Regions from separate parts of the Mus musculus genome. Here region 2 is reported to be linked to region 1. Evidence: microRNA targets listed by miRTarBase, many of them from high-throughput screens and not tested one by one. Region 1 holds a microRNA gene; the other region holds the end of a gene's coding sequence.
The links. Region 1 holds the annotated microRNA mmu-miR-292a-5p (ACUCAAACUGGGGGCUCUUUUG, at 1,741-1,762, opposite strand). A microRNA usually pairs through its seed, bases 2 to 8, with sites in the 3' UTR of a target mRNA and lowers its output. Matches are read on the target gene's strand: a 7mer-m8 pairs with bases 2 to 8, a 7mer-A1 pairs with bases 2 to 7 and ends in A, and an 8mer does both.

Region 1 (4,151 bases):
CCCATAGCACCTTGGTTCATTCAATAGCACCCACATGTCCCAGTTCCAGGAAACCTTCATCTGGATTCAGATACACACTACACATGCATGAAAGCAGCCGACCTGTGAATGGTGCCCACAGGAGAGACTCAAAAGTAGTAGCACTTTCTATGTACAGTCCAGAAGTGTGCCCCACATTTGAGTCTCACCAAGATGAGCAAGCAAGGAGTCTCTGGTTGATTGAAGTTCCGATGCTTTCTCCACATGGCAACACACAAAAGGGAAGCACTTTCCACTTAAAAGCTTAGATAGGGCCTCCATTTTGAGTATGGCTATATGGAATTTCGCTAGATCCAAACATGCCTACAACTGAACTGAAGATTAAGGATTATTCAATGCCAAAAGGATAAATGCAGCTATATGTAATACAGTACCTGTCAAATCTGGGTCACTTCCCGTGAGGTTCCGTGCACCTCAGCTTTTACTTTTGCCCCATTACAGACTGAATCATACCCACAGATGACACCCAAATGATGCAACACTTAGGCCAACTGCAGTTTCTCAATCGGCAACACTACAAACTCTGCGGCACTTCTTACAAAGAACAAAATGTCACACAGTTTGAGTACCACAGATTGAAGCATTTCCACAGGGACCTGCTGTGGTAATAAACCTGAAACTTTATAGTCAGTTCTTAGCCAGACCAGCCAGCCAGGCAGGTTGAAGGCAAGTAAGTACCCCAGGCTAGGCAGGATTACATTCAACTCAACTGGAACACCTGAAAAACAAAGAGAATCCATGAAGATTATGCTTAGGGCACACAATGTAACACCTGTAATCCCAGCCCTCATGAGCCTGGGCTATTGTAAAGCCAAAAGGTATTATGGGTATTATCTACCCGGCTGTCCACCAAGCTTGTTTGTGCTAGGAGCCAGGTTAAAGTCAGCTACAGCCAGCAGGTCCTAAAAATTCAATCCAACCATATCAAGACTCACAACCATCAGTCCAACTACAGTAGTCAAGCAAGATATAGCAACTACAGTAGTCAAGCAAGATATATAGGATCTTTTAATCCCAGGTGGATGGAGCTGAGGCCAGGCTGGTCTACAAGTGAGTTAGCTCCAGGACAGCCAGGGCTACAGAGAAACCCTGTTTGGAGAAAAAGGAAAAAAATTGAAAGAGGACTTAATATGGCGGCCACGTGAGATTTAAAAGTAGGCCTTTCTTTACTCAGACCTGAGGCTTAGACTCACCACCCCTGGACCTGGAGTGCCTCCTTCCACCCTGCCCTGCTTCCTCCTCACCTCCAGCCTTGCAGCTCGAGTAGCCAGTGGCAACGAATTCACCTCCAGCACACATACCTGTTTCAAGCAGGTAAGCGATTCCAGGTTGCAGCTGCAGCCGGCTTTTCAGACGCCATGTACACACAGAGACAAACAAAATGGATGCACTTTCCCGCCAAGCCGCGGAGAGGGCCTCCACTTTGATCGACACTGTATGTTCCAACTTCCAAGACCTGAGGCTCAGCTCCTCCGAGCGAGGCCCATGTGGGATCCCGGCTCCTTTATGAACGCGGAAAGCCTTTAGTACCGCATGCGCCCAAGTGTTCGGACTCAAACCCACATGTGACACCCACCTGCCCAGAAATGCAACCCCAGTGAAAACATGACCCACTAAAACTTAATTCTTAGTTCTTAGCCGTTTTGAGTTCTCAACCGGTGACACTCAAAACCTGGCGGCACTTTTCTTCCGATGAAAATCCAAAAGAGCCCCCAGTTTGAGTATCACAGGCTGGAGGTCAAGCTTAAGAACAATCTACAATGCACCTGGACTCACGACTGCCTTACATCCATCCGCGTCTCGTGGCACCCAACTGAACCGCCCTCTTTAGGATAGGACCCATTAAACTCCAAGCCTAAACCCCCACACAGGTTGTCCGCTCCTGTAAACCGATGCGTCAGATGCAAAGCTATGATGTTTTCCCCATGCAGTGGCACACAAAGTGGAAGCACTTTCTCATTCAGGCTCAAGAGAGGGCCTCCACTTTGATGGCCGCTACATAGGTGTAACAGCTCCAAGCAGCGACAGGACGCACATGGAGCCCCCAGGTACCCTACAACGACCACCTCAGTTACCGTCTACTGGGCAGGATGCCCATCCCTAGCCTTTCGCTATACTCAGTCTCATTCCTTTCTTCGAATCCGTACTCACCACGCTGCAGTTAACCCGGAACACGTGGCACCAGGGCTGGTAAATGTGCCAGATAGCCGTTTTCTCAACCGGCGGGGCTTAAAACTAGGCGGCACTTTTTAAAGAAAAAAAAAAGTGCCCCCATAGTTTGAGTACCGCAAGATGAGGCGGTCCAGACGTTAAAACATTTACCAGGAGGAAAGAACGTGGAGAACTTAAAATTCACTCCAACCTGAAGGAAACCTGGATGAAATCAAGGAAGAGTTAGTACATCGGTCTAACTCAAGGTATAGTGAAACTCAAAATTTCTACAATGAAACCACGTAGTTAATGAAATGTACTGCATAGACTCCCTAGACCTGCCCTCAGTAACTCCTAGCTTTGGTTTCTGGTCCCCAAACTTCACTCGCGCCCAGACTACTCACTTTCCCCACATAGGCTCGTTCCTCCCTTGAAATTATGTAGACCAAGTCAGAAAAAAAAGCCCAACTCTTTTTCCACACACATTAGTTCTAAATGTCTTCTTTGGAGACCAGACCAACCTCAGATGGGCCTGCCTCTGCCTCGGGATTAGTAAACCCAGCCAAACCGTGGGGGCGAGCGAGGAAGGCTGAGTTCGCGGCTAGCCTGCCTTTTAAAAAAGGGGCTCTAGTTTTTAAAAAGTAGAATGAAGATGGCCGTGATGACCTTTAATCTGGAGGCAGAGAGGCAGGCAGAAATGAGAGTTAAAGGCCAGCCTGGCTAGTCATCTCCAAAGTTGAAGCAGGAAGATCTCTCTTCTGGAAATCCTGGATCTACTTTCGCCTCTCTAAACCAGGTAGATTAAAACCACAGAACTGAAGGAAATAAAAAATCTGAAACTAAAAATATTACCTTTGCCTATGTGAGAAGCAGCACGCCGGAGGTATCCCTGAAGACCGCAGAGACCAGCATTCCCGATGTGGAGTAGAAGTCTCTGAGAGGCGTGGGGGAGGCTCTAGGTTCTTATATAGTCTGAAGGCTCATTGGCCCCCTGGACTGGGAGGCTCTGATACCCCTCCCCCACCCCGGAGAATCCTTACTCTACCACCCTGCTTCCTCTGAGCTGAGTTTCCCTGCGGCAGAGTGACCTTCACTGGTTTCTTCTCCCCCCCACCCCCCAGAGGAAACAGATTTCTTTGTTTGTTTCTAGAAGCAGCGCCTTTAATCCTATAGTTTTCTAGGCCGAGGCTGGAGGATCTTTGTTAGTTCAAGGCCAGCTTGGTCTACTATGGTGACTAGGCACGGGACTAGGCAGGGCTACATTCAGTATTAAGATAATAATAAAAATAAATAAAGGAAGAATGTGGGAGGTTCAGTTTATTCTTTCGTTTGAATTTTTTTTAAATCCAGAGTTTCAAATCCTCCCTCTTTTTTACCTTTCTTTCTTTCTTTCTTTCTTTCTTTCTTTCTTTCTTTCTTTCTTTCTTTCTTTCTTTCTTTCTTTCTTTCTTTCTTTCTTTCTTTCCCACACTGAATATGAAGGTCCAAGAACAATATGATAGAGTTAGTTTTCTCCTATGCTTAAATATGTTTTTTTTGGGGGGGAGGGGGTTCAAGACAGGGTTTCTCTGTGTAGCCCTGGCTGTCCTGGAACTCACTCTGTAGACCAGGCTGGCCTTGAACTCAGAAATCCGCCTGCCTCTGCCTCCCAAATGCTGGGATTAAAGGCGTGTGCCACCATGCCCGGCTGTTTTTCTTTTGTTATTATTATTGTTGTTGTTATTATTATTTATTAAATATCTTTAAATAGCTCCATGGATTGAAATTAGGTCTCCAGGCGGCAGGGCTAAAGCTACAGAGGCATATTGCAGACTTGGAGTTTAGGGTTTGTTTGTTTGTTTGTTTGTTTTTTGGAGACAAGGCTCAAGTACGCCAAGCTGGCCATAAGCTCATTAAATAGCCAAGAATAATTTAGGACTCCTAAGTCTACACCTTGTGTGTGTGTGTGTGTGTGTGTGTGT
Region 2 (4,000 bases), not on the chromosome of region 1:
ACCTATGTAGCAAGACACTGTTTCAAGCAAACACCATAACTCCAAAAAACAAAACAACCCCCCCAAACAAAACAAAACACCCCAAGGACTGAAGAGTTGATTTGAAGGAATTTGAGAATGAGTGTATGAGTCCTAAAACTCAGAGTAGAGGCAATGGCTTGTGACCCCAACAGTGGGGAAAGATAGAAGATCCCTGGGGCTAACTCCCCAGTCAGCTTAGCCAAACGCTGGAGCTTTGGGCCAATAAGAGATTCTGGCTCAAAACATGGTGGATGGTGTGACCATCCCCATCCTTCACATGCACATGTCCAAATCCACTCCTACACACGTGGACCTTCATGCAGACAGTCTCTCTCTCTCCCCACTCCCCAAGTGGCACATATATTTATGTGGCCCTGGGAATGGAACCCGGGCTCTGTACCTGCTCTTCATCTCCAGTCCAGCATTTCAGCTTTTCCCCTTTTCCTTGCTTATTGTTCTTCTGTTTTACTTTGTTTTTGTTGTTTTTCGAGACAGGGTTTCTCTATGTAGCCCTGGCTGTCCTGGAACTCACTCTAGACCAGGCTGGTCACAAACTCAGAAATCCACCTGCCTGTCTTCTGAGTGCTGGGATTAAAGGCATGCGCCACCACTGCCTGTTTTTGTTTTGAATGAGACAGGGTCTTAATATGTAGACCAGGCTAGCCTGGAACTCACAGAGACCCCCTGCGTCTGGAGATTAATGGCAGGATGTTGAGATTAAAGGTCTGTGCCACCTTGGCAGCTCTCAAATTTGTATGTGTGGGTATGTGTGTGTGCATGTAGGTGCAAAAGTAATGCCCTCTCCTGGAGTTCCAGGACGTCGTCAATTGTGTGTCATGGGTGCTGGTTCCCCCGAGAAGTATGAGCTCTTAGACACTGAACCATCCATCAACTTTCTCCTGTCCTCTTATTTGATAAGTGTGTGGTATGTGTGTGGAATGTGTGTATGCATGGTGTGTATGTGGTGTGGTGTGCGATGTGTGTGATGTATGCATGTGGTGTGTATGTGTGTGTGTGGTGTGGTGTGTAATATGTATATGTACGGGAGCCTGGAGAGATCAGAATGCTTCAGATACCCTGAAGCTGGAGTTATAAGCCATGTGAGCTGCCAGATGTGGGCACTGGGAACCGAATTCAGATCCGCTAGAAGAGCAGCAAGCCTCCTCCCCCCCCCCCCCTTTTTGTTTTGTTTTTCAAGACAGGATTTCTCTGTGTAGTCCTGACTGTCTTGGAACTTACTCTGTAGACCAGGCTGGCCTCGAACTCAGAAATCCGCCTGCCTCTGCCTCCCAAGTGCGTGTTCCACCACTGCCCAGCTAGCAGCAAGCCCTCTAAGCCATCTCTTCAGTATTGTGCCCCTCCTCAAACCCATTTTGAGACAAAAAAAAAAAAAAATCTCACTGGGGCTGTTTGCAAACTCAAAGAAAGCCACCTGCCTCTGCCTCCTGAGTGCTGGGATTAAAGAAATGGGCCAACACAGCTGGCAGGCTTTCCTTTTTGTAATTAACTCGTGTGTGTGAGCTTATGAACATATGCATTTATGTGTGAGGGCACTCACGTGTCACACAGTGCATTGATGGTCAAAGGTCAACCTGTCCAGTCTCCCCTCTACCATGTGTGCCCTAGGGATCAAACTCAAGCAGTCGGGCCCTTTACCCACCACACTGAGCCATTTTGCAGAGCCATTTTAATTCTTTTGAATAAGTTTGGTATCTGACAGAGAGTAAAGATTGTTGGAATTTCCTTAGATAAAACCATACTTATTTACCTAGCCGCAGAGCGTGGCACATAGGCATTCCTGACAAATGAAAAACAGCAGGCGCCGGGCAGTGGTGGCGCACGCCTTTAATTCCAGCACTCTGAGGCAGGCGGATTTCAGAGCTCCAGGCCAACCTGGTCTACAGAGTGAGTTCCAGGACAGCCAGGGCTACACAGAGAAGCCCTGTCTCAAAAAAAAAAAAAAAGACAAAAGAAAAAAAAAAAGAAAAGCAGTAGGCTTAAAGAAAGGGGGCTCCAGAGACCAAAGGCACTCAGGGATGCACACCTGGGAAATGGCAGCTACCTGAAGGATGATTGGATAGAACTGGGAAGGCTGTCACTTGCTGCCATCTTTTAGGTAGGGCCCAAGGAAAGGGTGTTCCCAGGTTTCACGGTGTATTTCTCTCCCACAGGTTTCAAATCTACTCAAATCAGTCTGCGCTGGAGTCTCTGGCGGTGAGTTGGGGATGGCAAAGGGTGGGTCCAGGCCTCGGGGCAAGTTGGCCGCTCACTCAAACCTGTATGCACTGTCTGTCGCCCCCCCCTGCCTTTTTTTTCCCCCTCAGCTGATCCCACTGCAGGCCCCACTGAAGACACTGCTGCAAATCGGAGTGATGCCTTTGCTGAACGGTAGGGACTGAGGGTGGGAGGATGGAGTGGGGACACGGACTAACAAAGGGGGGACGGCGGTGGATGGTGGACATGACGACACAGATGGACTGATGGACACCCAGGCTGAGCTTGCCTCTCTCATCCACAGAGCGTACCTGGCGTGGGGTGCAGATCCCCCTTCCTGAGGGTATCAACTTCGTGCGTGAGGTGGTGACCAACCACGCGGTAAGTACATTGTGGAAAGGAGGCCGTAGACCAGGGCATTCCTGTCCCTACAACACCCCAGTGCTTGTCTGTTTTCCCGAAACCCCTTTACACTAGTTGCTCCTTCACATATATATTATTTAAGTAGTAAAGATTTAACTTAGAAGCAGGGCCATGCTCCAGAGAACATACGCCACGCCGCAAAGCAGCTGGGGCCCCTGAGGGGATTTGCTCAAGAGTCTTGTGTTTGTTTGGAGGCTGTTTCCAAACAACTGAACCAGCCAGGCTCCCTGTCCCCTCCCGCAGGGCTTCGTCACTGTTGGGGCTGACCTCCACTTTGCCAAAGGGCTTCGAGAAGTGATTGACAAGAACCGTCCTGCAGACGTTGCGGCCTCCCATGTCCCCCCACCCTCTGCTGCAGCTGCCTGAGCCCATCACCCCACCTGGGTGGCTGGCATTCAGGAACCTAACTGAAGTCTTCTCTGCACCCCCTGCCAACCCCTTCCCATCTACAGTGTTAGTGGTCCCGGTGCCACAGAGAAGAGCCCAGTTGGAAGCTATACCCGATTTAATTCCAGAATTAGTCAACCATCAATTAGAATCCATCCACCCCCCTCCTTGGGTTTCTCTAGCTCTGTTGGGGTCCTGGGGTGGTCAGTTTTTATGCAGTCGGGGAGGTCAGGCCACCCCACGATGGCCGGAACAAAGTGCTCACTTGGTCCTAGGCTGTCTGTGACGCCCTGAGGCCCAGGCTGGGATGCACCAGGCTGTGAGAAGTCTGGGCAGTTTTAGTACAGGACTTGCCCCACGGGAGCATTAGCGGAGGACTCCTCTCTGCTGAGAGAGGCCGAGAGGGGCTGATCAGGTACTGAGGATTTCCATGGGTTGCAGCGGAAGCTATCAGTAAGGCTCTTTGTTCAGGAACCTCGAGAACATGGTAAAAGCAGCTCGAGGCTTGTCCGTGGGGACCATGTGTCCGGCACCCTGGGGAGCAAAGCTTTATGAGAGATCTGGATCCCCAACATGCATCACCCCTCACTTCCAGCCGCTTCCTTCTTCACCTCCTCACCCTGCAAGCTCGCCCAATGCATCAAGGGTGACCCAGAATCATCAGAGAGAGACGGGGAAGTCACACCACTCCCCCGCTCTGGCCCCGGCTGTCCCTCACTAGGCACAAAGTCCTACCTTGATGGTGAGGAAGGTGATGTGTGAACACTCCTTCACGAAACCAGCTACCTGTTCTCCGCTCTCCCCGTAGTCCACTAGCCAGGGCCGGCGCTGCACCTCCATCTGTCCCATCGGGAAAGACGATAGCCAGTGGCAACCCCCATCCTTGCTCAAAGCTGCTCTCCAGTTTTGCCCTCTCCTGGCACCCTAGCCAGCCCAGCTCCCTGGCAACTTTACC

Region 2: the mRNA of Ctsa is a reported target of mmu-miR-292a-5p. Seed matches in the 3' UTR shown: 7mer-m8 at 2,291-2,297 and 7mer-A1 at 1,967-1,973.

Annotation. Positions count from the first base shown.
Region 1 is chr7:3,216,811-3,220,961 of GRCm38, reverse strand. Mir292 (microRNA 292) reads right to left here and starts at 1,773; the gene lies at 1,692-1,773. It overlaps Mir290a (microRNA 290a), which reads right to left and starts at 2,336; the gene lies at 2,254-2,336. Mir290b (microRNA 290b) reads left to right here and starts at 2,267; the gene lies at 2,267-2,324. D7Ertd143e (DNA segment, Chr 7, ERATO Doi 143, expressed) reads right to left here and starts at 2,178. Exons shown (of 1, transcript NR_028425.1): 1 at 1-2,178. It also overlaps Mir291a, Mir292b, Mir291b, Mir293, Mir294 and Mir295, and 1 more gene.
Region 2 is chr2:164,838,730-164,842,729 of GRCm38, reverse strand. Ctsa (cathepsin A) reads right to left here. Exons shown (of 15, transcript NM_008906.4): 13 at 4,000; 14 at 3,781-3,885; 15 at 1,698-3,579. The coding sequence ends at 3,496. Pltp (phospholipid transfer protein) reads left to right here. Exons shown (of 16, transcript NM_011125.2): 13 at 2,193-2,235; 14 at 2,346-2,409; 15 at 2,540-2,616; 16 at 2,902-3,212. The coding sequence ends at 3,024. Among named protein-coding and RNA genes, the nearest start is that of Ctsa, 7.0 kb to the right of the region's middle.